Caenorhabditis elegans: one gene and its partner. The protein of the gene in region 2 interacts with the protein of the main gene of each other region in a pairwise test. Each region holds a gene or a part of one and is shown on either strand. Other genes may lie near its edges. The genes, in order: mig-15 and hst-2.

What was found.
Region 1: the proteins of hst-2 (region 2) and mig-15 interact in a two-hybrid assay, tested with the Caenorhabditis elegans proteins (one large-scale study listed by BioGRID).

Annotation. Positions count from the first base shown.
Region 1 is NC_003284.9:10,426,942-10,442,579, reverse strand, and holds the start of mig-15 (Serine/threonine-protein kinase mig-15), read left to right. Parts: upstream 1-14,005; coding exon 14,006-14,050; intron 14,051-14,428; coding exon 14,429-14,596; intron 14,597-14,891; coding exon 14,892-15,089; intron 15,090-15,136; coding exon 15,137-15,377; intron 15,378-15,638. UniProt on the Caenorhabditis elegans protein: Involved in cell migration and signal transduction. Important in several developmental processes including epidermal development, Q neuroblast migrations and muscle arm targeting.
Region 2 is NC_003284.9:11,198,441-11,214,078, reverse strand, and holds hst-2 (Heparan sulfate 2-O-sulfotransferase hst-2), read left to right. Parts: upstream 1-6,923; 5' UTR 6,924-6,990; coding exon 6,991-7,128; intron 7,129-7,182; coding exon 7,183-7,287; intron 7,288-7,335; coding exon 7,336-7,442; intron 7,443-7,533; coding exon 7,534-7,669; intron 7,670-7,980; coding exon 7,981-8,078; intron 8,079-8,124; coding exon 8,125-8,288; intron 8,289-8,771; coding exon 8,772-8,913; intron 8,914-9,538; coding exon 9,539-9,623; 3' UTR 9,624-9,976; downstream 9,977-15,638. Other genes in the region: C34F6.7 (uncharacterized protein), read left to right, coding at 8-145, 199-314, 369-457, 2,028-2,133, 2,181-2,386, 2,662-2,763, 3,121-3,184; C34F6.5 (NR LBD domain-containing protein), read left to right, coding at 5,207-5,255, 5,409-5,699, 5,968-6,153, 6,204-6,314, 6,362-6,447, 6,565-6,591; C34F6.11 (MARVEL domain-containing protein), read left to right, coding at 10,151-10,276, 10,788-10,886, 10,936-11,040, 11,090-11,226, 11,277-11,374, 11,418-11,500; col-179 (Nematode cuticle collagen N-terminal domain-containing protein), read right to left, coding at 11,637-12,297, 12,350-12,540; col-178 (Nematode cuticle collagen N-terminal domain-containing protein), read right to left, coding at 13,703-14,496, 14,546-14,603. UniProt on the Caenorhabditis elegans protein: Catalyzes the transfer of sulfate to the C2-position of selected hexuronic acid residues within the maturing heparan sulfate (HS).

The DNA of each region.
Region 1 (15,638 bases), 780 kb from region 2:
TGGAATTTTCCAAAAATCAGATTGTCTGGCGTCAAAGTGACATTTTAAAAGAAAAATATATCATATGCACAGACCAAAGAAAAAGAGAACACGTGCACTGACCCAAGAAAAATAAAACATTTGCACTGACCAAAAAAAATTAACGTGCACTGACCAACGAAAAATAAAATATGTGCACTGACAAAATAAATAAATGTGCACTGTCCAAAAAAAAACATGTGCACTGACCAACAAAAAACATTTGCACTGACCAAAAAAAAATTAGCGTGCACAAAGCAAAAAAAAAGATGCCACATGCACTGATCAAAGAAAAATAAAACATTTGCAATGACTAAAAAAGATGGAACGTGCACTGACCAAAGAAAAAAGTGGGCTACCAGTCATACCGTTCCTTGACATTGACCACAGGGCACCACACAAATTGAACATCTCTTGATGCTCTTCACACCTTGACCACGAACTGAAAGGTGCCTAAACTATTGTCCATAACTTTTCCACATCCATCCTGGACTTCAGTCTGTGTTTCTTCTCGCATCTCCCAGAGTATTGAGACTCTCGATTCTTTATTCTTTTTCTCGACTTCCCAGAAGCCGCTCCTGTCCATTCGTTCGCGACTTCCGAATAAAATATTTCTGAAATCAATGACATATTGAGAAAATACGCTTGTTCAAGTAGATTTTTCTGGTGCTTCGAGATAACACTGTGAGGAACCATCAAACCGCTCTGGGAAAGCGGGTTTATTTTTGTACCTGTGAAGATAAACAATCATCCTTAATATTATGTACTACTGAAGACAGCTTTCCGTTTAGCCATTTGAGTAGATTTTTACATAAGTTATATGTGCAAGTTTGTGCAATTTTCGTGACGAATTCCAAAATTATCTGAATTTTGTAGACGTCAAGTTCTCTGTAAAAAGATCTGATAAACATCATTGTCATATTGTGAAAATGAAGACAGGGAAGATTTCAAGAAATTTAAATGTTATCTATGTTATAATTCCGCATTACATTGGAACTGCTAAAATTCACAACAAAATCACAAGCATTATGTTTCTAACGGTCTCTGGCCAAATTAAATTGTCGAAGTAATCTGAAACACAAACATGAGCAGCACACAAATGGGCGCGCAAGATAGACATACAGTCATTCTTCTTTGTAAGTCCTCAAAAGAACATTGTGCACCCCCTGTTAACCGTTCCTGTTTCTGAATTGCATTCGTTTTTTGTCTGTTTTAATCCGTCAGTCACTCCATCTATTTGTTGTTCATATCATGTTCTGAAGTTTTTTCTGTGTTTAATTATACATTTTCCATGTTTTATAACTTGAGATTAGGGCAGTTCATAAAAAGCAAAAGCCTGGTGAGCTTCAGTGTTTGAGACTCTTCTTTTTTTTTAACTATTTGAAACGTGCAAATCAAGCCTAACTTTCATTGCACTTCTTCAGTTTATTTGATTACTCTTAAATGAAAAAAAAGTAATTCGTTACATTTGAAAATGATGATGTATACCGATTCGAATCTAATCAGTTCAAATAAAAAACAATTATCAACATTACAATCACTGCAATGATTGGAGAAATGTGTACTTGAAATTTCAAAAAGATACTTCAGATGCTGATAAGCGAATAATGGGCATATCATGCTTTTGAAAACTATTTTTTGAAAACAAATTTTTTGATGATAATTTCAATAAGCAATACTACCTTTCTGCTTTGAACTGCTTCAAAAAAAAACTCTGGATCACGTTTTTGAAACATTGTTAGTGGTGCTCATAAATCAAGTGATCTACGCTATAATAAAATGCAAACAAACGTAATTACGGTGCCTGCCTACCTCTGACAAAGGTCATCGGGTTCCCACTACCGATTAACTTATTACTGCTAGATTGGTGTTCTCCGTGTATGCCTGCGTGTTTGTTATTGTTCTTCTACAAAATGAGTGTACCTGAGACGGATCAACTAGTATTATTACCATAACTACATACATTGTATTTACATTGTTCCCTCTCGAGTCGAACACTTTCCTTCTTATACCTCTCAACATCTTCTCACTTTTGCCATTTGTAGATGGCGTTTTTATTCAAAAGAGGGTAAACATGTTGATGTCTTGGTTCTTTGTGAGAGTTCCGATAAGGTCTAAACTTTCAACTTTTTATACAACCTGAATTAAATTGTTTCAGTTTTTGACGTATTGAATTCAGCCATCAATTCTTACAAGTTACAACAACAACACATATCTCTTTTTCTTCCTCACAAGCATTCTTTCCGTCTCTTCCTTTTACATGCTTGTCCAGCTTTCATGTCGTCCTGATGTCGTTCTGCTAATTGGCTTTTGCCCTACCACCCCCCAGACGCCTCTTTCTTCAAAAATAATTTGAAATTGTTTTGCAATCTTGTCTTACTGGGTGGTCTTTTTTTATTTTCTTGGTTTCAGACATGTTTTGTGCAGGTTCTCAACATCCACTTTGCAACAATGTATACTGTACCTATATTCATGAACCTCATAAAAATTTAACTCTTCTGATAATCCAATAATGTTATTTATCATTAAAATGTCGCTGTTCACTTAATAAGTTTAGTTGAATTTGGATACAAAATGGAATATTAAAAAACTAACGTTCACTGGGAACGTTACAGAAAACCACCACAGCAATCACTTCAAGTTTAAGTTGAAATTTTCAGTTGGAGCAACGGTTCTGAAAATTGATCAGTGCTCTTTGACAATATGCATGTTTAAAAGTTTTTTTTACCATTTTAGAACTGCACAAAAAATCTGCTATACTTTTGTTAGTAAAAGTTTATTTTCCCGCTTAGCTTTGCCCTATTTTTCCCATGCCGTGAATTTTTGATTACAAATTCTTATTGTTCGCCGCTAAAGAGCGAGAGCAACACCCTTCTCGCTCATTTCATGCGCGTTCGTTTTTAGTAAATCTTGAATAATTCATTTGATTCGAGAAAGAGCACATGATACACTGCTACGTTATACAATTTCTGTATAATGTCTAACGAGTTTATTGTTTATCCAAGGGGTGCGTTCGTTTTACACTCCCATTGCATACATAAACCTATTCAGGTTAACCTTTCTGAATCAAACTTTTCATCTTGTATATCTGATCTTTTAACTTGGTTTTTCAATAACCTATTCCTGCCCACAATGCACATTTTGGTTTTTATTTTGTATTACAAAAGTGTTCCTCTTCTGATGGTAAATAGGAAGGAATCACAAAGAGAAATGAGCCCCAAGGAGGCGACGGCACATTGAATGTATACACATTTTGCGTGAATTTATGCGAAAACGCTTTTTGACGCCAACGATGACAGATGCTGATTGGGGGAAAAAAGAGAAGAAGGGAAAGAAGAAAAGAGAGAAAGTGAGGTGTATAGATTTTATGAAGTCATTCCGTGCCACACACACGTCCATACGCTATGATTTTTCCAATAGGTCGGTCCCCTCAATGACTAGTGGTCCCTTTCCGATGTAACACCTCAGAAACCGGTCTAGCGTCTGGACTTGGATTAGATTTAATCCTGAATAAGATTCTCAATGAGTCTAGAATTGTTAAGCGATTAATAAAGAGTTAGAGTAACTTTAGCACAACATTTTTGTCCGGCTCTCAGTGTTCACCTAGTTAGGAACTTTCTACATCATGCAAAAATTTTAATTGAAAATTGATTGCTCGCTCATGCTCCATGCTCGTTGTGAATTTTGCAAAGTACCCGTTCCCACTATCCAATAAGTTTATTTATTCCATTTTCTCACAAACTGTATTAGCTTTGACTCATACCTCAAATATGTAGGATTTTGAATGAAAATGGCGTCAGGCCTACCATGATTATTCCAATTTTTATAGAAAGTAAAACCAAATTAATAAAATTTAATAAAAATATTATTTTTTGTCGTGTGTCAATGAAGTTATTCTATTCAAAATTTTTTTTATAAAAACCATTTATAATATCCATTTCTGCATCACTTCCTTACTTGTTTTTTTCCCAATAATAACTTTGTCAGTAAACTACCTAAGCCGCAGTTATCTGACATTTTGTTCTTATCACAGCCAGTTGTCTCCACGTAAATCCTTTTTTGTGCAAGAAAGTCTAACGAATAAGGGTATGTCATTTGATGAAAGTCATATTCAGTGTGATTCGAATCTTCAGTGAACACAATACAAGATTCCTAGTGCGTTCATCGTTTCTTGATGTTTTTTTTTAAAATTACACTTGAAAATTATCATCCAACACACTTTTGCTTTGATTATCTATGTTTTTAAAAAATTGAGACTTTATTTACGAGATGTGCAAATTTTTAAAATCTGCACACCAAAATATATATACTCTCAACCCGAAGTTGAAACAAAATACAAAGTTTTTATTTTTACTTCTATCATTATTGCTTCCAAGTCTCCGAGAAATTCTACAACCTGCAAATTAAAACTGTGGTTTGAACGACAACCCACACTACGAAGACTATCTTCTTTAAGTGAAAGACACACTTTAAACCGTGCAAGCTGAAATTAATACTTGATTATTGTTATCTTCAAAAAAAATAATTTGAAACTTCCAAACCTGAGTTTTTTTGATTTAAAGATTTCCCAGACTTGCATAATGTGTTGGTAATGTCATATGTCCCAGGCGGAATGATTCATTACCCTACCAACATCCTCCAGTTTCAATCTCATTATCTATCTTACTCTGATTCAGTTCTATGGTAAAAGAAGCTGTAAATCTTTTGATACCGGACACTGACACACGCCGGCTGTCTCTCTATCCTTCCTCCTTGGCGAGTTTCAAATTTATAACCGGTCAAGTCAGCGCTAACAAAGGAATGAGGAGTGAGTGCCACAAGGTGCCGAATGGGCTTGGAATGTAACCTTGGAAGGATGTTGTCAAAGATGGATGATCAGCCGAAAACCATCCGAGTGAGGAGATGAGGTTAAGAGCGGTTTTGCGGTCTCAAACACACGGTACACTTGTGAAACCTGACACCTATTTTATTTCGGCTACTTTTCCCCTTGTTTACTATTATATTGAAGTAAAACAGAAGTACTTTATTATTGTTTTGAAACCGTTTTACTCAAATTCGGGCATTTGCATCTGTTTGCAAAATTATGAACCTCCGTACTAAATATTTTATTATGAATTAACATTTTTCTGACCGCTTCATTGTAAGAAATAAGCTCCTATATAGAATATCACGGTATACTATGAGATAGGCATGACGTTTATAGTTTAGTTGTTTTGCTGTAAAAATATTTTTTCAAAGTTTGTGATCGTTTTGATAGTCGAAAAACTGTTCGAAATCTAAAATTTGTGCAGCTTGTTTGTGAAAAATAATTTCAAATTTCCGGCCGCAAATCAAAATGTATTAAATTTTGAACTTCCAAATAACTATTTTCAATTAATTAATAGTATTTTTTAATTTCAATTATTTGTATTTTTTTAGAAATCAATTACAGTAAAACACTAAAATTTCCAAGACTTTTTGATTTCCCGCTGTTTATATATGAGTGCATTCTTCTGAAATATAAAAAAAAAGATTTCAAGGAAAACTCTAAAACTGGTACCAACAAGCACGTTGATAGAAGTTTTTGGGGCCGCTGCTGTTGCTGTTCTGTTGTGTGAGTGCAGTGACACAAGGAGAATGATTTCGTTGTGATTCATAAAAGAAGCCGCCGATTCACCTCGTGCCCTTTCTCACAGATCTTTCCATTCTGTTTCTTGGAACTTTATTTCTCTCAATTCATTCTTGACAAATTTGATGATGGCTTTCTTAATTGTCTTCACCTTTGTGTATTTGTGTCTGCACCAGGTTTAATAGCGTATTTGGATGAGGCTGATGATTATCAAGGTTTTTCGATTAAATAATTTCCTAGTTCAATAATCTTCCTTTTTGCGAAAAAAAAACAATCGAGCATACAGTACTTAAAATCAATTTAAAAATATTTCAATGAATGTCATTTTATATGTTGTGAAACCTGCACTTATTTTCAAAATGAAGCTACAATAATTATTGAACTTCTACAATACTTTTACAATAATTCTTATACCACTGAAAAAAAGTGATGACACTATATAATACATCAGGGAAAGGGATTAACTTCAGTACTCTGTAGATCTCGGCTGCATATTTCTTAATTTTCTTAATTTTCATAGTCTATGTAGAGATGAAACACAGAATTATGTATATGTTTAAGAACATTAAATGGAGATGTAGTATGTTATGATTTCATTTTTCCTCACTTGTAAATTAGTTTTAAAAATTAGGAAATGTTATTCAGTTTATTTCGCTCTGACAAGTTACTTTGTTGTGAATTTACATATGAAAATATTTTCAAAACCATCATATCGCTTACTGAAAGGTTTACATTGACTAAGCTTTAGTTGTGATTTTTATTCAAATAATATAATATATGTTTTAGAATATTAACACAATTAAAACATGTAATATACAAATTTTAGCTAAACTTTTATTAGTCCGCCGCAAATAAGTTTAAAATCACGCGTAAGGGATCTAGAACTGAGATGTTAGTTCAGTTAAATTTTCAATATTTTCTAAATGGATGCAAGGATATAAAAGTGAAAGGTTGAAGTGCGGAGAGCAAGAAGCTATCCAATAGCTGCCTTCTCCGCGCAGCGGTGGCTATCCCGTCAATGTTCTATTGCTTCTGCTGCGGTCAGTCAATCATTGATTGTGCAGACAAAGGAAGAGTCGCAGAGCTCGGACTCACTTGCTGCACATTTTGGTTGTGTCCGACAGACAATTGGCGGAGCAAAATAGTGTAGCGGAAGCCTGAGCTGATTGAGAGGGTAAACGGGAGGAAGAGAGAAAAAGAGTCCCGTCCTTTCCGTCAGCCTCGCTCTCCCCGCATGTTCGCGCGATTCGGGGTGGTCTTCTCGTCCTCCTTCTTCTCCTGACGGACACAAACCTCCTCCTTCGCCACTTACTTGCTTTCTTCTCCGTCTCTTCCTCCTCCCGTTTCCTTCTGTTTCTTCTTTTCCAGGCTACATGTGCCTGAGTCTCTTCATCTCTTGGCAGGGTGTGCGGACCACTTTCTGGACACTCCGCGCGGACCGCACACTCTCTTTCGCCAAGCGTCCGGAATCACTCCGTTTTTTTCTAGTGAATTCTACCGTTTATCCCATTACGGTTCACTTTGTGAGCTTTTTTGTGCCTTCTTTTGCAACAAGACACAAATTTTTATTGTTAACATACAAAGTGTAGTTTCAATTTCAATAGGTCCACTTTCAAAATATTTTTTAAGTACGGAGGCTTTAATGAAAAATGCGTCGTGTGAGGTCTTTTTATTAAAAAAAAAGTACACTACAAAGTGTGCCAAAATGTTTTCAATAGCTTAGCCTCTGGTAACATGTGAATACTAACTTGTATACTTTTATATTTTCAAGCTCAGAAATAATAATTCCTAAGCCTAATGTACAAATAAATCTGATGTTTTTATTTTTATTTTTTAATCTACATTTCTCTGTGAAAAATCTATGAATATTTGTGAAATTATTTATGCTTACAAAAGTGTTGCTGATGCAATTTAAAAAAAACAAAACCAATGAATTACTTACTGTGAGAGTTTATAAAATTCTAAAAAAAAACCTGGTAGAACAACATCCTTTTTCTTTTTTCATTTGAATATGTCAAAAATGTTCGGGCAATTTTGTACGATTTTATGGTCATGCAACCGTCAGAAAATCATATATTTCCTCTAAGTAATTATTTTGTGACATTTGCTTTTAACCTATCACAACGACCACTCATTATTTTAATAATCTATCTCATTTAGACAGTAAGACAGCAACGCGTGCTGTGTGTTTTATTTTAATTTTCGTAAAATCTTTTTCTTTTTTTGGGCGTTGACTTTTAAGGAAATTTTGTAGTTATTTCAAAGTTCAGTGGTATATAATAACTGCAAAATCTGTAGAGAAAGAAAACTCTGATCTCCAAAAGTGGGATGTGACTATGTATCAGTTTCCGATGGACCAGACTCCGTAACCCAATATTCTGAATGAAGAGGACCTACGGAAGCTTTTATTTTCCACGTTATAGTTTTCAACATCTCTCGATGCTGTTAATATGCAAAGTATTCAATTTAAATTTAACAATTCACCGATATTTTTGCAAAAAAGTGTTTTAAGCGTTTAAAAAGTGTGACATGTTTCAAAAAAAATAATTAAATGTTGTTCAATCGTCACGTTTTCATAATGCCAAAAACTATGTTATGCTTGGCTTTTGCATTACTTACTCACAATAAGTCAAAAATCTGTCTTATCATAAAAAATGTCTTTTATATTTTCATGAACACAATATGGGTAAAAACACTCTTCCACTTCAGCATTCTTTTTAATACAATTTTTTGCTTCGACCTGAATAATTTTCAACTCCTTTCTCAATTCTTCCGCTCTTTTTGCAATTTTTTGCTGGCTACTCGTTGGCACTTCTTCTATTTTGTTGTCCAGCATCCTCGAGTTATTCGGTGAGGACATAGACCAGGAGGGACGCACAAATAATTTATTGAAGAGATGTACTTTCGCATTGTTGCTGCCACTCCTTTCACGTAATGCATTCGTTGGATGGATTTTTTCGCGTTTCTCGCTCTGCGTCATCATGTTCAATTTTCGTTCTCACGCTCCTGTTGTGCACTATACCGCTATTTTAAAGGTCGCTCTCGCGTACTTGATGGGAATATTACATTTCCAATAGACATTTTAAGGGTAAATTTGTAAATTCTTAAACGAAGGGCGTTTATTCTTCTGTGCTCTGTGAAGTTATTCAATGTTGAATTTTTTTTCGAACCAGAAAAATTCTCTTTAGTGATTTAGTACTAAATAGCAGTAATTTTTGTGTTCCCAAAAACAAAACTCAATTGAGAGTGATTTTTAAAAAAATTAGTTTTTGGTGTGCACACATTGAATACCTTAACAAAACCTTGTAAATTTTGTAGATTAAAATTTATATTTGTTATCACAACTACAAGGTATTCAAAGTTTTAAGTAATTTTAAAATTTTTTAAGCAAAAGTTGTTATTAGATTTTTCGAAATATTTTCAATGAGAAAGCTCAAATTTGTTTTAAAGTTCAATCAAAAATTCAATTTGCTCAAGGCTTATCCCCACAAGCAATCGAAATGAACATGTGATCTACGGAAAATGTTTGAGAAATTTTGCAAATATTAGGTTATCGGCGGATATTCACCAGAGTATATGTTTTGAAAAAGTAATTATATTCAGAATTATGGTACGAAATTTTAATTTACAAAGCTAGTATTTGTTGTGGTTGCTTGAAAAATCAGAACAAGCTTTACTATAAAAATAAGATTGTAAAATTTTCAATAAAAAAAAAGAGTATAGGTATTTTTAAAATGAAGTCTGTTATATGTGGAACAAAATTAAATGTCGGCAAACTTTCCTACAAATTTCAAAGGCCATTTTCAAAGTTTATTTAAAACAAAGAACTAACTATAAGAGCAGGTACGGTGTTTGTTTTTTTTGTTGGTCGTTCCATCATTCATAGTGACATGTAATTATCAGGTACACATTCATCTACACAATCACAATCCCCATTCTTCCATTCACTCTCATCCTTTCTCTCTTTAGGACCGGTCGCTTGTACCGCAAGTAGTGACGAATACTGGTGACCTTTTCCTATTCAATAGAATCGATAGGTTTTGAATTGAATACAAGAGAACCGTTCGGTTTTGCATGGTGAGAACAATCACAGAGCAGTAAAAAGTAGAGTTCACAATTCAAACTGTTTATCTGCCTTTTTTCCTCATCATTCTTTTCCGTTTTATTCACAAGTTCATTTAATTCTTTTCCGCATAAAATATCCGGATCATATGCGCGGAAACTTGTCTCTGACTAAAATCAATAATGATCATAAGATTGCAATATTAGCCGATTGTTTGCTCGCCTTATTCCCTCTGTCTCTCTACCTTTCCTTTAACTTTTCAATCACACCGGTGAGGGCTCCTCCAATAGTTTGCTCCCGGTTTTTCTTGAATTTCACTTTTTCCCAAACAAATTGATTCAATATCAACAGAGATATCGTTTTACTTTTTTTGCAATTGTTGTTCAGAAAAGTTTAGAGTGATACCAACAATTTTACAAGAGATATATGACAAGAGTGGACAGAAGAATCTCAAAGTTTGTGCACACAAACAGCTCCTCAGGGTGCTATTTCGTTCTTAGCATCGCCTTTTTCTTGAAAGTTACTCGTTTTTTGTGAGCATCTGCATTTTTATGGGTTACTCAAAATTTTAACAACCTTCTATTACATTTAAATTTATTTTTCAATATTAAAAAAAAAACACCAATTTTTAAAAGTGAGTAATGTAACATGAGGTATGGTAATTTTGAATTCACATTGCATGTTATCCTTTAATTTTTCTATTCCGCGAATAAATTGTTCACTGAATACATTTCTCCGTTTAAATTATTACTTGTCGTTTTGAAAAACAATAAGTAATCCAAACTGAAAGCTGTTTAGCCCCAAGCAAATTTATTCCAATTTTTCTGTTCAAGTATTTCAAACTTAACCTTTTTTGTGCGCCTCCAGGCTTTCAAATTGTTTGATATATTATTCTGGCACGAGAAGCAAATAGGAAAGAATGGGACTTCTAAAAAAAGTGGGTGTATGTTTTTAGGAAGGAAAAGCTGCTGTTTCTAATGTACTGCTTGTGGGCACATTGTTTGGCTCTTTGAGCCAAAGTGTTGATCTTTTTGGTCCCGAAGGAGTTTTTTGTATGCCCTTGGTTGATCAATTTATAGAGTTGAGAACTTTTTAGTAAGGAATAGTTTTCTTGGGAAGTTTAAGTATTGGTATTACATCGAAAATTGTATTTTGAATTGTAATTCAAAGAAGAGTCTTGAACTATAAAGATTTTTTTTCAATTCAAGCATTGAGAAATTTTACATCTATTATAATAGAGGATGTTATTTTCAAATCATTGAATCTTCATGTTTTGTCCCGTTGAGGTTCCCTTCTTCTCCGAGAATTCTCTCCAAAACCTGTAAGCTCAAGTAAAATCATAGCTCAGCTTCATTTTTTCTTTAAGATGTCAGCTGTCTTCACAATTTTTTTGAACTTTTTGTTATGCGGATTGAGGTGTTGAGGGACTGAAGAAACTCCTACGCCCTTTCTTCCCACAAGTTCTTCACAACAGCTGATAAGAAATGGGAATGATACAGAAAAAGTGAAAAAATGAAACAGTGAATATGATTTCATTTAGTACGAATGAATAAACTGATTTGCATTTTGTGATTCACTATCGTTTTGTAAGGTGAAAAATATTCAGAAAACCATCCATCCTCCGCTCTGTTCTTTTTCGAAGTGTTTTATCTGATTCCCTACTAATGCGGTGATAAAATCGGCACTATCACCATGTGTACCCCCAGTCCATCTCTGTTCCAAGACGCGCGTTGTTGGAGGTCATGGTTATCAAGTTGTGTTGATAAAAAGTAGACCAGTCTTTTATTCTTTATTTTCAATTCGCTCTTTTCTCCTATTTTTCGTGTCAAATGAAAGAACAAGATAAGGCGGATCGGAGAGGTTTTAGAACCAATGCATCGCCACTGGGTGTCATCACTAGACCTTTGGGAACGCTGACTAATTGCTGTTTCACTACACATACATACACACTCTGGCGCCACTGGTCGTTTTTCATTCTGTTTCTTATCTTCCTCGTCGACTTTTTTCTCCCTATTCTTCCATATTTTTTGTCCTACAGCTTTTCAACTTCCTCTATCTATGACTTTTCCCTTTTCTCCGATTCATCAGAAAATGTATTCTGAGCTCTTTTCCACTTTTCGTTCTCTTCCTTAAGCAAGAATGGCAAAGTAAAAAGGAAAAAAGAGCAAGAATAATTTTGACTCCTTCCTCTGGGCTACTTTTTGAGAGCGGCTGTAGTACACTTCTAGAACAACATGAGGTCAAGCTCATGAGAATAGGAGGACAAGGGAAAAGGGGATTTCCGATCTATTGTTATGTACCGACTCACGTTTTCTTTTTTTTTATAAGAGTGATTCAGACCGGATTTTTTAGTAAAATTGTATTTTTAGTTCAATGTTATACTAAAATAATTTTATATTATTGTCTATTTTAAAACGTAACTGTAAAAAATTCGCATTCATTGTTTTTCATTTGAAGAATGTCTCTGAAAATTCTTTAATTCAAAAATGGCAATATTCACATTGTTGTTTTTTGTCGAAAATAAAAAAAGTTGCGGGAACTTCGAAATGCGAATCAAAACTTGTCGTATTTTCTTGATCATTTTTACACACCATGTAATTATTTTGCTACTTCATATTTTAATTCAGTATCATAAGCTATAAAAATTAATGGTACTTGTGTATTATTTCCCCTTAATTTTTTGAAATTGATTATTAAATAAAAACGTGTGGAGTTTTTTTTTTCATTTTTAGGCATAGTAAATTACCATTTCTAAATTAATAAGCTACAAAGATATTCAGAAAAAGATATAGCTTATAAGCTGTCAAAGCAAAGCATTCGGTGCAGGACATGGAAAACTTTTAAATGAAAACACGTGTTTTGAAATTAACATATATTTCAAAATATGAATTCTACATCAGAACATGTTGTGAGCAATTCAAAATTTTCAATAAATAATAATTTTGGCAATAGATTCATGTTGTAAATTAAAAAAATCAGGCAATATATTAATATTTTATGGTTTTTTGATACAATCCTTTTTTTCTTCTGAAAAAATTGTTCCCGAAATGGATACTATGTAGGCTAAATAAAACGTTTCCACAAGAATAGTTTTTGTTTGTAATTTAAAACCTCTCCTTCTTTTTGCAACGTCTAAATAGGAAATATACCTCAATGTGCCATAACCTTGTTTTTTTTAGCCATGAGCGTCACTAGGATCTAGTGGTCGTAGAGACAAATACCATCGCTAAATCATTGTTAATCGGCCATTGGAGAGAATATTCGTTAAATTGATACATCTACCCCTTACTCGATCCCCCTTCATTTATTCACCATCATTAATATCTATTTAGAAGATAAGCATCATTTCATCTCAAATCAATATAATAAATGTAGATCACCAAACAGAGGCATCCCGCTATTCTCACTCAGTCGGCAGCTATATGTGATGCTGCTGTTGCCTTTTTGTGTGTCTTCTTTGGGAATGGACAGGCGCTGTTTCCATTCTTCTCCACCAGCGTCTTCTTCATTCTTCGTCCGTCCTTCATCATTATTCGGGAAAACGAGCGGGGGAATGAAATGGAGAGAGAGAGAAAGGCGGACGTCGGAGGCCTTCTTTTCGGAATCAAGGCGAATTTCTTGCGGCCTTCGATCATCCCTCACTCTCTTTCACAACCTTGTCTGCTTGACCCGATGATGTCTTTTGACCGCTTGTCAATTCAAATTTGCACGTCTTGATTGCTATCAGAAAAATTTAAAATTGCGAGCATTTTTAGGAAATTTTTTTTGCAGCAACAGAATATGAGTTATCCTATTCAACGGTTGTCTGAAACTTAAAAATTGATAATTCTTTCCAACATTATAAGAAAAATATATTGTTTTTGCAGAAAAAACACTTAAGACTTTTCTACTTTTTGAACACATTTAAACAATTTGTGCATTCTCATTTTTTTCCTCTATTTCCCGGCTGTGTAACAATGCTGGACGCGTCCGTCCTCCTTGTGCCGTCCACTGGTCTTTCTCCGACGTCTTTGATGATGCATTCCTTATCGATCTAATTTTCTTTATCACAACATGTGTTTTTTTTTCTGAAACAGAATGGTTGCTTCGTAATAATCTTGGAAACAATATTTTATTTTGAGTCTTTAGATGAAAACAATATATTTCTGTTTTTGTTACTTTTGATATAATCTGAAAATTTTTTTCTGTTTTGTTATACTTCCTGTTTCTTGTAATTTACAATAAGTGTTTTTTTTTTCAGATTCAAGTTAAATTCAAGGAGTCATTGTGTGGTTTAAGTGTCGGCTTGCTCCAAGCCGCTCACAGCACCCAAAACCATGTCGTCATCAGGACTCGACGAGATTGATTTGAATTCTCTAAGGGTGAGTATTCGTGACCACCCATACATCAAGTAGAATGCGCACAATGAATTTACTGAAAAATGTTAATTTTTCTATTCAGTCTGGGTTATCGCCCGTGAAATTAATGGTGTTTCTATAGAAAACTACCTTTTGAAGTTGAATGAAACAATCAATTTTTGTCAGCTTTAAATTTTTGTCTCAAAACTAAGAAAAAGTGTATTTCGCAACATTCACACACACACAGACGAAGTCCCACTTTCTTTCTTCGAGTGTGTGTGTGTGGTGTAACAATTTTAAAAAATCATGTTGCTCTCTTCTCAGAAATATTTACAGCTGAGTAGGGGAAAGAAAATGCGAAACTACACCAAACAACACGGAAATCACAATGATTTTTTTCAGGACCCGGCTGGAATCTTCGAGCTAATTGAGGTTGTTGGAAATGGAACTTACGGGCAAGTGTATAAGGGTCGACACGTTAAAACAGCGCAACTTGCTGCAATCAAAATTATGAATATCAACGAAGATGAAGAAGATGAAATTAAGTTAGAAATTAATATGCTAAAGAAGGTATGTGTTTTGGTTAAACAAAAATATTCCTTTCAAAATTCCCCAAATATGAGAAATGGAATTAAACCTATTTTCGAATTATTAAGTTGTCCAGAATTTTAAATCAGTTAAAAAGAAAAAAAGAAATATCTAATTTCTGATAAATACATTTATAAATTATATTTGTATGAATTGATGAAAACTTAAAAACGAAAGCTATTTTGAAGACAGTTTTGAAATAGTGTGAAAAAGAAATTTCAAAAAAAGGAGAACACATCGATGAGGTCTTACACGGAAGAATCAAATTGATTTGCAGCACTCCCACCACCGGAACGTAGCCACTTATTATGGTGCTTTCATCAAAAAGCTGCCCTCTTCGACCGGAAAACACGATCAATTATGGCTGGTAATGGAGTTTTGTGGAAGTGGTTCTATCACCGATCTTGTAAAAAACACAAAGGGAGGCTCTTTGAAAGAAGAATGGATTGCATATATTTGTAGAGAAATTTTGAGGGTTTGTCTTTACCGATTCTCAGACATTTTCAAATGTATTTCTTATAGGGACTTTACCACTTGCATCAAAGCAAAGTTATCCATCGTGACATAAAAGGTCAAAATGTGCTTCTTACGGACAGTGCTGAGGTGAAGCTGGTAGATTTCGGAGTATCTGCACAACTTGACAAGACAGTTGGAAGAAGAAACACATTTATTGGAACACCATACTGGATGGCTCCCGAAGTTATTGCATGTGATGAAAGCCCTGAAGCTACTTATGATTCACGTTCGGATTTATGGTCTTTGGGTAAGTAATGACGATGTGTAATATAAAAAGTTTTTATAAGGCTTGGTATCAGCATTTCACTGATTTAAACACTGAATTTAGCAACGCACCCAAAATATATTTCTCAATTTTATTAATTTAATTCTACTTACAATAATAATCAAATTGAGGTAAATTGCAGAAAACTAACGCTGATTTCCTTCTCTAGAAAGCTGACAACAAAAAAATATGGCTATCAGCTTACTATTTCGAGAAACTAATTTTTTGGAAAACTTTAGCTAA
Region 2 (15,638 bases):
ATTACAGCAAACGGTTATTATTGCATTCGGATCAAAGACTACAAAAAATGGCCTATCTACCAATACTACATAGATAACCCGGACTGCGTGAATGAAGCACAAACGGTGATTGCTGATCCAGAAACTTTTCGGATAAAATTGTCCCGTGCGTTATTCGATTGATAAGTTAAAAACATTAGTTATTTCCAATATTTTCAGAGCGCAGCTTCCTCTTTGTCACTCGTAATTTCCTTGTCTACACATCAAATTGGAGATTTATGGCTGTCAAGTTGGCTGATGTCCGGCTTCAGGTGGACAACACAAGGATGCCAATGGTTTGTGATAACTAGAAATATATCAGAAAGAAAAATACGACTAACATTGTTAAGCTTCCGAATCAGGATGAAGAAGAGCGGATACGATCAATTTTTGTGAAAGTCAGCTTCCGCCCTGCCTATATAACACCGTTCACTATCACGTAAGCGTTTATATGGATTTTTTAAATCAGATACAATTGATCTATTCTAGAAAAGTTTCAGAAAAAATGTCAAATTTCAAAAAAAAAAACAGATCCCAGAGAAATATTAGCCTTACTAGGGAACCGTCACAAGGTGCCACTCGCTTTTTGGACGAAACATGTTTCATGTGAAAGCCCATGTTGAGAAACGGTAAAATGTCAATTTTTAGCTGCAAAATTTCAGAATTGAGCTCAGGGTGAGAATTAAAAGTTGCTTACATCAGTACTAACTGCGCACTCCCGCCGCAATATTAGCGTATCGGTGAGGGTTGTGGTGGTTATTTTATGTGAAATATATAATTTTTTGTCCATTGAAACGTTTTTGCTACTTTGAACAAAGTTTAGAAGCTTTTTGAAAAATTTTTTTTTTGAAAATTCTGAAATGTGAAAAAATAATCCAAAAAAAAATTTTTTTTTCAAACTTTTTTCAAAAGTGTTTTAAATTTTTACAGTTGATAGACAAGTGTTAAAAACCTAAAAATAACAACTTGATGAATTCGGGTTTAGATTTTTTAACAGAAAAAGTTACCTGTTTACTTGCTTTTTTTGCGAATTGTACCTTAACTTTGAGCTATGATATCTCTGTGATGAGCTACGGTCTTGTTTAGCGATCAACTACGAAGTTGTAGCAAATTTTCTGTTTAACATTTTAGTAATTGATTAGTTTTTGCTATCAGTGATTTTCACAGACTAACATACCTGTGAGACTGTACAACTTTTAATCGTATATTCCATGAACGTGAATGCCCTTTTTTCTGCGTGGGGTACTAATACCTAAAATTAACTAATTAACAAAGTGTTAAACAGAAAATTTGCTACAACTTTGTAGTTGATCGCTAAACAAAACCGTGGCTTATCACAGAGATATCATAGCTCAAAGTTAAGGTACAATTCGCAAAAAAAGCAAGTAAACAGTTAACTTTTTCTGTTAAAAAATCTAAACCCGGATTAAGCAAGTTGTTATTTTTAGGTTTTTAACACTTGTCTATCAACTGTAAAAGTTTAAAACACTTTTGAAAAAAACAATTTTTTCAAAAAGCTTCTAAACTTTGTTCAAAGTAGCAAAAACGTTTCAATGGACAAAAATTTATATATTTCACATAAAATAATTACCACAACCCTCACCGATACGCTAATATTGCGGCGGGAGTGCGCAGTTAGTACTGATGTGAGCAACTTTTAATTCTCACCCTGAGCTCAATTCTGAAATTTTGCAGCTAAAAATTGACATTTTACCGTTTCTCAACATGGGCTTTCACATGAAACATGTTTCGTCCAAAAAGCGAGTGGCACCTTGTGACGGTTCCCTAGTTAGAACAAAATCAACTTTTGAAGAAACATTAAAATAAGTTTCCTGAAAATACTTTTAAAATAGTTTTGAAAAGTTTTAAACAGCAAAAGATTTATAAAACCGAAAACGAACTGTACAGTAACCTTGTACTACCAGAACAGTACACTTTCCATTTTTTCTTAGTTTTCACAAATTACATGTAGTTAACTTGTTCAATATTTTTAAACAAATCTTTTTCAGCCTACGTCAAGACTATTATCGTCAACTGAATGAGATACTCGAAGTACCAATTTTTGTTCCCCCTCATATAAACGTCCCCTTGACTTTCATGGAGGAGCTGAAAGAGGTCAGATTTTTCAACCGGGTCTGATAATTTGAATCAAAGTTTTTTAGGATTTTATTCAACGAATAGCAAGCAACACCCGTGTAACACACCGTGTGAAAGCAAGTGAAAAGGATCCATGTTTTGCATGTGGAACTGAAGAAAATATGGTGAAAATTGAAAGATCTTGCGATGGCCAGGAGCAACGAGTTTTCTTTCACGACATTGGCGCCCGATTCACTCCACCGTGCGAGAACTGCATTTGTCGTCCTTTATGGTAAAATATTTTCCTATCAATCAAGAACAGAGTCGAAATGAACGTGTGTGTCCAGTCATGATCTTGAGGTCAATTACCATACTGACCGACTAATTATGGTCCAAATAGGGGAGCAAGGGGGTTTCATTAAGAGATGACAGCTGGGTACGGACCTCAAGAAAGATACCACGCTTTTCACAAATGCAGCTGTCTCTGTGTCCATTATCTCAACATGCAATAAAAGCGATTCCCGCACCGAAGACAAGTTGAATATATAATTAGTTGTGTTATTTCAGGTGCAGAAGTTGCCTAGCTCAAATTTTCATTGGAAGGCAGAACATAGATAACGTCTACCGATATGAGTACCATCGAGGAAGTGCGCAATGCCCAACTTGCAGGTATTAAATTATCTGTTTTATAAACTGAGCGTTTTAATTTGTCTTAACAAAAATGTCCATGTTTGAAACTATTTTATATCACTACTCAAAAACATTTCAAGCTTTGAGATATCATATCACCTATTCTCAAAGTTGAATTTTCGAAGCTCTTTAATTTTAATTTATGTAAACCCAAAACAGAGTTTCAAAATTTTACTTAATATGTAAGTAAAGAAATCATCCTCTCAGACCTTTGAAATTTCATCATTCTTGATTTTTCAAACAACAAATAAGAAAACTCAAAGTGCAAGTTTTGAAAAATCCAATTATTTTTAGCTTTCCCATCATATCGTCACACTTCAATATATTTATTTCCAGAAAGAATTTCTGCATCCGGGACGTGCATTGTGTTGATTTCGACTACATCTCGGAGGAAAATTGATATTTTGAGAAGATTCCCTTAGCTGTGATTGCTTTTCTCTGTATGTCGTTGACGCACCATCCGTTCCTTAGTCGTGTATATATGTAGCATTTTCTCGATTTGTTGTCTCTCGAAATGCGCGAAGCACATTTCCGCCAAGCATCATCCTTATCCGCGTCTCTCCCTCATTTTCCCCTCTCTCTATTTCGAACAGCAGACTTTCGGGCTTCAAGCAGATGGTCTGCGGCGTTCTCTCTGGTTCACATGTGTTATGGGTCACGCAGCTGTTTTTACCGTGTTATGCCCTCCCGATCGCCTTTCACCACCAGCCTTCTGGTTCATCCTCACTTTACATTCCCCTCTCGTTTCACGGCTCAGAGTTTACCCAGCCCTATACCGCCGCGCGATCGGACAGCACATTCACTTTATGCAGCTTTCATTCAATTGACATACTGTTTTTGAGTTCACCCACATTTCTCTTTCCCATGTACCTTATTTCATAAAGGTCATGCAGCTCGTTCAATTCAATGTTGCGGTGTTGGGTAAACGAGTTAGTAATCATTGAGTGTGTCCCCCAATACTTGTCACAAAGCGTTTTGTCCCACTGACCGACTAAGAGCAAATTTGAGTAATAATTCTTTTGTTGTACACCATAGCGCTACATCATATTCACCCTCGCGACTTAGCGCACTTCTGCCACATTTTTTTGTCCCAGCCCAGTTTTTTCCTTTGATACGGTGTTCCATCTCTGTTTTAACTACCATTTTTGCCTTTTCCTTCTCGTGATTCCAATAAACTTGACATTTTGAGATCAGTGCCCGAAAAGAATAATAGACTGCGGATGCAAAATAAACAAAGAGTAAGAAGAGGTCAATGAAATGAACAAATATGTACTACTATACTGAACAGTTATACACGATTTGCAGTACTACGAACATTCGAAAATGTTTCAAATGATTTATATCGACATATTAAAAAATGTTAAAATGTCTATTTAAAAGTATGAAAATTTCAATCTATTAAATATTATTGGACAGTTATGAAAGGAAACTATTAACTAGTTCATGACATTGGATGAAGTTTGGAATCTGCTGTTTTTAGGGAATTTACAAATTGTAATTCAAATCAGGGAAGGGCGACAGTTTAATAATTTGACAAATGTTTAAAGAAAACTTAGAAGAAATAGCGTCATTTAGGCTTATCGTCATTAATTTATACAATTGATTGTGAAAAAATTCAACAATGGGCACTTTTGGCAATTGGCATCAACCCATAATCAAATCTAAAAAAGGACCATTTTTAAAAGCAAAACCAATTTTATCTTATCTAAAATTAATATGCGTTTAAATCGAAAAAACAGTTGTAAAATACGGTTATGCCATTTCTTTAATTATCTTTTACGTTTGTCAGTTAGAATTGTTGTTATCGTGTTTATACGTAAAAAATGGTCCCCTGGATATTTCGAAAAACCTGTCAAAAATTGATTTTTATTCAATATTCGATCAATACTAGGTTGACTTCAATTGAATATGATTTATGACTATCTTGAACAATCATTTGAGACCATAATGTGTTCCTCCTGTCCGTAATAAGGTGAAGATGATGTGAGTCTTCTTCATTAGCTACGTTCTACTTGCATAGCTGCAATGTTTTAGTTTCTCCGGCAATGTTGTGTATTTTATTTTCAAAACTCCATGAACAGTCATGAAAACTATTGTCTCGACGGCTCGGTGCCATGCTACGGTAGATTTTCTTTGTTGAGGTGAAATGACTAGAGTTTTTCGCGCTATTAACAATTTATTTTCGATAATGAAGTTGATAAATAACACATTATCGATGTTAATTGACACCTTGAAAGCCCAGGTACCACTGTTACTCTCTCCTCTGTGTTCCCACCTTCCCCACACCTTATCAGTCTTCTAATTCATTCCCTCACTTCGACATACGTGAGAGCACACCAGTACGTATCGATCCGCCAATTGCTTTCGTATTCGTTTACTCTCCACACACGCTATTTTTCTTTTCAGGAGGATATAAGCCAAAATGGCTGCCACGACGTCGTCGGCAGGAGCAACGAACAGAGAGCAAGCTGGTGAGCGCTAGGGCTGTTGTTGCCTTTGTTGCCTAACAAAGAGCTTTCAACTTTATTAAAAGTATAATTTTGTCAATCTATACGTAAACTTTGACATACAACTCTCGCGCTTACTTCAATACATGTTTCTTAATCTAACGGTGAAAATTTCAGACCGTCACATGGAGATGATACGGTATCGAGGGTATTCTGTCAGAAGTATTCCACTTGATAGAAACATGGAACACGCTGCAGGACCAAGCCCACCAGTAGAACAAGGTGTCCAATTGGAACAAGATCTAGAAGAAATTATTGATATTCATGAGGTGGATGATGAAGAAGAAGAAGATGAAGACCAGAATTTGATAGAACCCGTACGATTGACACCGCCGAATCCCGTTCCTTGTCAACTGGACAAGTTTCATCGGTACCTAAAAATTGGCTTCTTCCTGGCTTCAATTGAAGGCAAGTCTTGAATAGTTTTCAAAAGATAGCATATGTTGAAAACGTCAGAAAAATTCATTGGCGTTTTAGCAGGTAGAAACCATTAGATTTTTTTTCCATAAGAGTGGACCGTGTACCCACTGATAACATAACAAATTTATTAAAAAGACATGACAGCATAAAATAAGCCAACAATACGATGTGAGCCTTATTATTTATAAACGGCGGCTATTGAATAAAAATTAACTAGAGTTGAGATTTTAAGCTTATAATGTAATGCATTTTTCAGTTCTTTCCGATAGATCCGATGGCAATATAGAAGAAATTCGTGAGCACGCAAAGAATAAGTTCGAAGAACTTGTTAAGAGCACAGGAGAAATGCTTGAGCCAGAAATCCCAGTAAAAGAACCATGTGGCACGTCGAAAATCAAACGTGATTTGAAGAGGATGTCAAAACATTTGAAATTTTTCAACGGTATAGAAACTGCTTTCTGTGAGGTTCCTTGAAACTATCAAAATTTGCAGAACTTTTCATAAAATTCGTCTCGGAATTTGATGGTTCACCGGTGCGTCTCAACAAATTGCGAAGAGCTACAGGTTTCATCAAAGGAATATTGGTTTTGGAGAATATTTCAGGTGCATAATTTTTACAATTTTACACTGAAAATAATGAACGTTTTTAGTCTTTAATATCCCACAAACCTCGACACCTGGAAATTATGCCAAAGACTTGGACATTTTTAAAGTAAATGCACTTCTCTTCATGCAGGTAATATTTTTAATCATGAACTTCCGAAAAAAAAAGGTACCATATAATACTCAAAAAAAAATTTTTTGACACCTTCGAAAATCAGTTTTGTATACAACAATATTAATTTAATTTCAGTATCTCAAGTTTCTCGAAAACCAATAAGGAGCAGCAACACCAACTGCATCTTGCAGATACCCGTTCATTTTAATTATACACGTTTTCTTCATGTTTTACTCATTTTCACTCATCTTTCCATGTCAATCTCCTCTTTCCAAATCTGCCAGAAGTGATTTTTCAATCGAGCACCCTGTGACAAAGTTCTTAATTCAAATTTATTTTTTTCTGTGAATTATAATTTTTCTTCAACATTAATCGTGAAAAATAAATCATTTTACATTTTACTACTATCTGCCTGTCGATACATTAGATAACTATCGACAAGTGCGTCAGCAAAAAGAACACACATATCATTAGAGACGCAGACATCGGTGTCTACGTCAGCAAGCGATAGGAAGACGCACAAACCGTGCACCAGCCATTTTTTGAACTGTTTCATCTAAAATGCTGTGGAAAAAGCGAAAAGTTCTATATTTTGCTGGGATTTCTGTATTTATACTTATTTTATTGTTACTAAAGTTGAATTCAAAGCCAAAAGCAAATGTATGGCCAACTTCTAGTAAAATTGTAATTTATAATCGAGTGAGTTTGCATTTCTTGTGGACAAAATTATAATTAATTCATACTCCTTTGCAGATACCCAAAACTGGCTCAACAACGTTCACAAATGCAATTGCGTATGATTTATACAAAGAAAATGGATTTAGTGTACTACACGTGAATATGACAAAAAATCGACAGGTACTAAAATATATTATTTAGTGTTCCACATTTTTAACGATTTTTTAGGTAATGAGCCTTCCTGATCAATACACCTTTGTAAATAATATTACAACATGGACGGAGCGGCTGCCGGCATTCTATCATGGACACGTTGCATTTATCGATTTTCAACGGTCAATATTCACTTATATTCATTCATAAGTTGTCTTATTTTCAAAAAACATTTGAAAATCATAATCTGAAAATATGAGTTCATAATTTCAGATTCGGTATTGCCAATCCCATATACATCAACATTATTCGTGAGCCATTAGAACGTCTACTTTCCCATTACTATTTCCTTCGATACGGTGACAACTACAGAATTGGCTTGAAGAGAAGTCGTGCAGGAAACAATGAGGTGAGAATTTATTTTTTTAGTGCTTTAAGTTTAAAAAATATAACAAAATTGAAGAATTTAAACACGGAGAATATTGTGATATGATTTTTTTAGAATCAACTTTGCTTGAAAAATAAGTACAGTTCTAAAATAATTGTTTCGCTCTTGTATTACTTTGAAACACTATTTGAGCGTAATTGAATCACTGCTAATTTTGAAATAAATGCAGTTTTTTATCGGTAGAATATTAAGGTTCAAAACCATAAAAATAGTAATTTACTACCAGAGATATTCTCAATTTTACAGAAACCTGTGAAATGTTTCATTTTCAGACATTCGACGAATGCTATTCTCGAGGTGGTAAAGACTGCGACATGAAACAAATGTGGATCCAGATTCCGTATTTTTGCGGACACTATCATTTTTGCACGTAAGTTGGTATCTTAAGTTTTCGGATAAATATGTATTATTTTCAGAGAAGTCGGGAATCCCGAAGCATTAAGAGTTGCAAAGCAAAATGTGCTGGAAAAGTATTTGTTAGTTGGGACAACATCAAGAATGCGTGATATGATAGCACTTCTGGAAGTAACGGTCCCCGACTTTTTCAAAGGTGCTCTAGGACATTTTGATAGTCTTGATGGTAAGCGTGTTTTTTCTTTTAATCAAATAATATACCATCAGTCAAAGAAAAAATAACTTTGAACGTTTTCTCTGAGATGTATAGCAGATTTTTCGAACAAAAAAGTCCTCCGAATTGTATACTAAGAAATAATCGTACCACGTCAGCGAGCATATATTATTATAATAAACGTATGATTGAAGGACCAATTATGCGTTGCAGAAATTTTTTTTTTAAGTTTTTACATCGGGAAAAATAAACAAAAAATGAACCCACTTGGAAATTCGATAACTAATGTGATCAGATTTGTGTAAAATAAAAACATAAATTTCCTTCGATGAGAAAAGAGAATGAGTGTATGATGATGCATTTTTCATCAGGAACCTGTACATACTTGAAAATTTTGGTCAGCTTTTCCAATTTAAATTCCTATTAGTTTTGTGACTGTCAACTATTATATTTAGGTGCTTTCATTTGATTTTTAATGTAAAAATATCCTTACAGCCAACAGAGCCCACTTACGATACACAAAGAAAAAGATCCCACCAAACGATCAGACTCTTTCGATGATCCGTCGTGATGAAGTTTATAAAATGGAACGAGAATTTTATGATTTTATCAACAATTTATTCGACGCGGTTTTCAAGTGAGTTTTCATTCAAAATATTGACAATTCAAATGCGTGAATATGTGAACTTCTCTTCTTTATTTAATTTTTCATGTCATTTTAATTTCGGTTTTCCCTTTTCTGATCCCTCATTACATTCGCCCGACCAGTGGCTCATTTATTAGCTTAATTTATTTCACCAAAATAAGTATGCACGAAAAAAGAGAAAAGAGCAAAAGGCGTTCAATCAAGTACGTCGCGAGAGCAAAAGAGAATGTCGTGTTTCATTAGCAATTCTTATTTTAGTTGATACATAGACTATGACAAACTACTCAGAAAAAAAGTTATACGCATCTTTACTGGTTTTTGATCTTGTTTCTTAACTAGTTTATTAATTTTATTAGATCTCGTATACTCCAAAAAGTTTTGTACTTAATAACTTGAATTTTATCGGGATTCACCTAGACAAAAGTTCTGTTCGAGGCCAAATTGATTCACCGTTGATTCGCGTTCATGCGCATAATGTTTTTTTTTGCATTTTGCACTTTATGGATCTTGACAGAAAATACGTCTGTGGCAAATCTACTGCATTTCTATTTTTATGCCGTATTTTTTAAACACCAAAAAACTAATCAAATCAGTAGTTCAATGAATGACATTTCAGAAAAGCCACAAATGGAATCTCAAAAGCAGACGATCTTGTCAAGCTTCCGCTCCAATACCACTTTGAGAAAATTAAACCATCATAATTCCTTCCTCTATTCACTTTCCTCAATTAAAAATCTTAAACTCGCTTAGCTTTTCGTGTAACTTGCATCTATATCAGATTTTATTAATTGTTTTATTCCCATATGTAATTATTTCTTCTCTGAAAAAACTACGCTTGTACTTTTTTTTTCTGGTGCTTTTCCCCATCTCTCATCATTGCGTTGTGTGCTTCTTTTTCATCTTCATCTTCAATTTTTCTTCAATTTTTCCAACAATCCCAAAACAAAACCAAACGGGTCGAGCGATCTATTGCAGCAATTCACTATGCCATCTGGTTAGTTTTTACGTATAATAAATGTTGTGTATGATTTGAATAAAAATAAGTTTGTGTACATGTCATAACTTGCGAAAAATGTAATACAGAACGTCTAGACAAGAAAAAAATAAAATAAACGAGAGCATGAACAGAATTATGTTGTGTGTCGAGAGACTACATTTACGACAATGATAAGAGCATTTTTGTCTCGTCCTCCATCGATTTCTTCAATATTTTTACTCCATTCTTCCCATGAGTCGATGTTCCGCAGTTTGTAAACCAATACGTCACTGCTTTTGTTGTATTTTAGTGCCAATCAAGTCAGTATGGAAGAGATTCAACAATAGATTTACAGCATTCTCGCTGGCAGTAGATAGGGTGAGTAAGGAAATGAGTAATTAAAACTGATGAAAATGAAATGAAAAAAAAGTGGAATGAAAGTTGCACCACAATTAAAATATTTCACTTTTTCAATTATAATAATGACGGGAAAATTGAGTGAATTATAATAATGATCTTCAAAGGTGAACTAGTTTTTTTAACACATCGAAAAATTCAAACAAAAAAAAATGAACTAAGGTTTCGGAAAATTGCCAAATTTACTTTATTTTTTGGTTAAATATATTAGAAATGACAGTAAGTTCAAGGTCAAAATTCATAGCTACATTTGTTAAATATCGCTTTTTAATAATTTCGTACGGAAAACGTTGACGTTTTAATGTGTTATCAAATTATACATACATATTAACTTGAATCTGCCTAACAGAGAAACTTTTTGGACGAAATTTTTGTTAGTCTAAAATTTTGAATTTTTCAATTTTGTTAAAAATCTAATACGAACATTTAGGTATACCCCTTTTTTTCATAATACTGTGATTTGATGTTTTAGATTGTTCAAGAACGGAATCTGTTGAGCGTTCCAGAAGGAATTTGGACGTTTTTCTGCTATAGCGTTTATATAAACTTCATTTTCGCCCTTTTAGCATTTGTAAGGACTTATGCTGCATTATTCTTTAAAGGTTCACTTCAAGTTTCAGGTTGGCGGAGTTTTGTGTTTTACATTAGGTCTCTACTATTCAACATTTTACACCAGAATAAACTGTGAAAATGGAATCAATATTTGGATTCCGTTAAACAATTTGGTATGTTCTAGACAACGAAGTAGAAATTTCGATTAAAATCATTTTATAGATTGCAACATGGACAGGATTTTTTGCAGTAAAAGCACTTCATATCCGGTGGTCCGCTTTTGTCCATTTGGTCTTCACTGCTACAATGACACCTTTGATGTTGGTTGCGGCCATTTTTGCTACGACGCAAGTTCCTGTGTAAGTGGAAACATCCAATTAACACAATATATTGTTATATTAAATTACAGTTGGTTTGAAGAACAACGAATGTCTCGCGGAAACAAGGATTATGGATATTGGAATGCAAGTGGCGACAGCATGCTTGCAATTTGTTCTTATATAATTGGTAAGAAACGTTCACGCAAAGTTAACATTTGTGATTGTTTCAGTGCTTCTTTCTGTCTTTGAATTATATGTCTACTACAAGTACTGGCTGCCCGGTGGACAGATAATGAGAGCTCGAGACGTTTGAGCTGATCAGTAACACAACGTTATTGGGTATTCAATGATTTCATCGATCGTTGTGTATTGTAAATATGTTTTAATGAGAAGCCAAATAAATATAAAAACTTTTTATTAAAACGTCTAATAACACTATGAAAAACCTATTAATATCCTGGGGCAGTGCGTGGAGGTGGGCAGTGATCGCAAGATCCCTTTGGTCCAGCGGCTCCAGCAGCTCCGTTCTCTCCATCTTCTCCGTCCTTTCCTGGCTCTCCTTGACCTCCATTGTCTCCTGGTGGTCCTGGTGGTCCGTTACGTCCTGGATGTCCAGCACGTCCATCTGGTCCTGGCTCTCCTGGCGATCCTGGTTCTCCTGGTTGTCCTGGTTGTCCTGGTGGAGATGGAGCTGAGCGAGTTTGTCCGGCTTGTCCTGGACGTCCTCCTTCTCCGTCTGGTCCGGCCTCTCCTGGTGGCCCACGTGGTCCTGGTGGTCCGCGGTTTCCTCCACGTCCTGGTCCTCCAAGCTCTCCTGGACCTCCTGGTGGTCCTGGTGGTCCCTTTGGTCCTGGTCCTCCAACGGCTCCTGGTGGTCCAGCTGGGCAGTCGAAGCAAAACTCTGGAGCCTTGTAATGGAAACCTTGCTCATCAGCGTCAGCTCCTGGTGCTCCTGGTTGTCCAGCTTTTCCGTCATTTCCAGGGGCTCCTTCTTGTCCTGGAACTCCAGCTGGTCCAGTTTCTCCAATACCGCATGAACAGCAAGTTTGTGGAGTTTGACGTTTCTGTCTTCCAGCTTCACGAGTAACAGAAAGTTGTTCGATTTCTCCCCTGTAAATTTCAACAGTCAATTTATTACAGAAATGTATAGAAAAAAACTCACTTAATATACACATTCTTAGACTTGCAGAAGAGAAGCTCTTCAGAAAGGCCAGATGTAACGGATTGCATATGAACACAGAAAAGTGGAATAGCAATGATTGCAATCAATGTAGCTACGGTTGAGACCGCAACTCCAAAGAAAGCAAACTTTTTAAGGTCGGCTGCGTACGCAAACTTTGCTTTGTCTTCCATTGCACTATTCGGTGTTATTCAATATCTCCAAGCCGTTCTTTTATACTTACTACCTAACGGAACAAGGAAGTTTTGCCACGCCTTCTTAAACTTGTGGATTTTTTTCTGCAATCACTTTGCAACCTTTGTCTCTTCGCGACGCGTTCTCTTTAGTGGCAGGTTTGTGTCGCCATCTCACAATTACTGCGTATCATTTTTCTGAGTATCATGGAATTTCATTTTTTGGCTGAGAGAAAATATATAGAAAATTGATACTTGGGCAAGATCATTTAGGAAAACAATCACTGAAACGCGCGAAATTAAGAAAAATACTAAATATTCAATTCATAACTCTGATAGAGAATGAGAAACATGTATGAAAGCTGCATATCTTGTTACTGGTTAATCATTATCATTCTTACTTTATCATTTTAAGTGCCAAGGAAAATGACGTCTAAACAACATCGTGCAGCAATTTTGAAAATCTATATTTAACATTTTCAGGTTTGAGAATGGTCCGTGTGAGAATAAATATATTGTTAAAATTTTCACAAAATTAAACAATTGATGTATAACGATGTTCGCTTGTTTGTAACAACATGTATATATATATAGAAAAAAAAGTATATATAGAAAAAAAACGCTGTGAAAAACCATACTATCGTTTCCGTTTTGTAACCCGTTTCTTTATAAAATGTACCACAAAAAATTAACGAGAATTTTTTGAAACTTTGTTCGTCATGAACTCGTCAGTAAATGTGCTTCTGGTGCTGACTGTTTTAGCTACATATATAATTTGCCATTTGAGGCCTACCAAACAATGGTTTCTACTAACATTATGTTAAGTTATCAAGAGTAGAAATACATTTCTGTCTCAAATCGAGTCCTATTTGCTCTGTGTTAAAATCTGTTCACATTGAATTTTGTGATAGCCTCTCTTGTTAGTAGTTCAGTTATTTTTCAGGATAAAAATCTATATATTTATGCTCTATTTTTAACTGAAAATAATCTTTCAGAGGCACTTTTTTGTATATGCGAACCATTTGCGAATCTTTACGCGAACTACTCGTGGGAGTTATATACTCAATATAGAGCCATTATTTCATTATGCGAATGATGTAAGATGAGTAATTGAGGCAATTTTTTATTAGAATGAGATTCACTAAAATTAGAGAGAAGTGAATTAATATCCTGGGGCAGTGCGTGGTGGTGGGCAGTGGTCGCAAGATCCCTTTGGTCCAGCGGCTCCAGCAGCTCCGTTCTCTCCATCTTCTCCGTCCTTTCCTGGCTCTCCTTGACCTCCATTGTCTCCTGGTGGTCCTGGTGGTCCGTTACGTCCTGGATGTCCAGCACGTCCATCTGGTCCTGGCTCTCCTGGCGATCCTGGTTCTCCTGGTTGTCCTGGTTGTCCTGGTGGAGATGGAGCTGAGCGAGTTTGTCCGGCTTGTCCTGGACGTCCTCCCTCTCCGTCTGGTCCAGCCTCTCCTGGTGGTCCACGTGGTCCTGGTGGTCCGCGGTTTCCTCCACGTCCTGGTCCTCCAAGCTCTCCTGGACCTCCTGGTGGTCCTGGTGGTCCCTTTGGTCCTGGTCCTCCAACGGCTCCTGGTGGTCCAGCTGGGCAGTCGAAGCAGAATTCTGGAGCCTTGTAATGAAAACCTTGCTCGTCAGCGTCAGCTCCTGGTGCTCCTGGTTGTCCAGCTTTTCCGTCATTTCCAGGGGCTCCTTCTTGTCCTGGAACTCCAGCTGGTCCAGTTTCTCCAATACCGCATGAACAGCAAGTTTGTGGAGTTTGACGCTTCTGTCTTCCGTTGTCACGAATAACGGAAAGCTTCTCGATTTCGCTTCTCATGTCAACATTCTTTGATTTGCAGAAAAGAAGCTCGTCGGAAAGACCAGAATGAACAGTTTGCATATGAAGGCAAAGAAGTGGGACAGCAATAATTGCTATCAAAGTAGCAACAGTGGAGACTGCCACTCCTGAAAACAATAAAAACTATTAGATGATCAGAAACCGTATGATTCTTACCGAAGAAGGCAAACTTTTTGAGTTCGGACGCCTGTACAAGCTTTGCCTTGTCTTCCATTGCACCGGAATGTGGTTCTACAATTGGTCAGTCACCTATTTATACTTACCATCAAACGGAAGAAGGAAGTTTGCCACGCCTTCTTAAACTTTGTGGATTTTTTTTGCGTCGGTCTCTTACACTCGTTGTCTCTCCAATGCACGCATCACCTTCGGAGGGTAGCCGCGACAACTTTCCCAATTACTGCTTATCATTTTTGAAATCTAGTCGGTTTCTACCGTAATTACTGAAAAAAGTCGAAGGAAAAAATTGAGATCAGTTCGTCAAAACTAAGGGGAAAGAAAAAAAATGCAATGAGTTTTCAATGATTTTGAAAATCGGTCTCAAGCAGTTTTTAACAATTTGATTAAATACACTTTTTTTGAATAAAGATAAAAAATCAACATTTTTAACTTCAGAAATGTTTTTTGATTCTTAGGAATATCATATTTTGAACAAACAGAAATGTTTGGAGTTTGCTTTAAACAAATGTTCAATTTGTTGTTCCTGAACTCTTTGAAGTGTAATAATTTCCATGCTTCCCAACCTAAACCGTTTTTATCAATTTCAGAAAGCCAACTGTTGTTGTTTTTAACCGGTTTCCTGATTTTTTTGTTTCAATCAAAAAGCAGTAATAGAACATTCGCTAGTAGCAATGTCAACGACAATCAGTTGCCATCACTCAATTCCTTCGTCTCTTCTTTCACCTTTTTCTTCTCCGTCGTCGTCGACGTCTTCGTTTTCGGTAATCCTGAACGATATATGAAACCAGCAAGTAAAAGTGTAAACTGGCGCGGGCGCGAAGTAAAAAAACCAAACGAAAGAGTATGCGAACTTTAGGTTCGCAGTGTGAACAGAGAAGCGTGCAGAAAAATGAAATTGACTTGAGGACACAAAAAACGCCAGAGAACCCCCTTTTTGATGATGATCGGTGATAATAGCTGTGGATAGTTCCTGCCACTACGGCTACTTTCGATTACTTGGAAATGCCAAAAAGGAAGTGGGACAAGAACTTAGTTCTTCGAGAGTGATGTTTCGATGTTTGAGAAATTACTG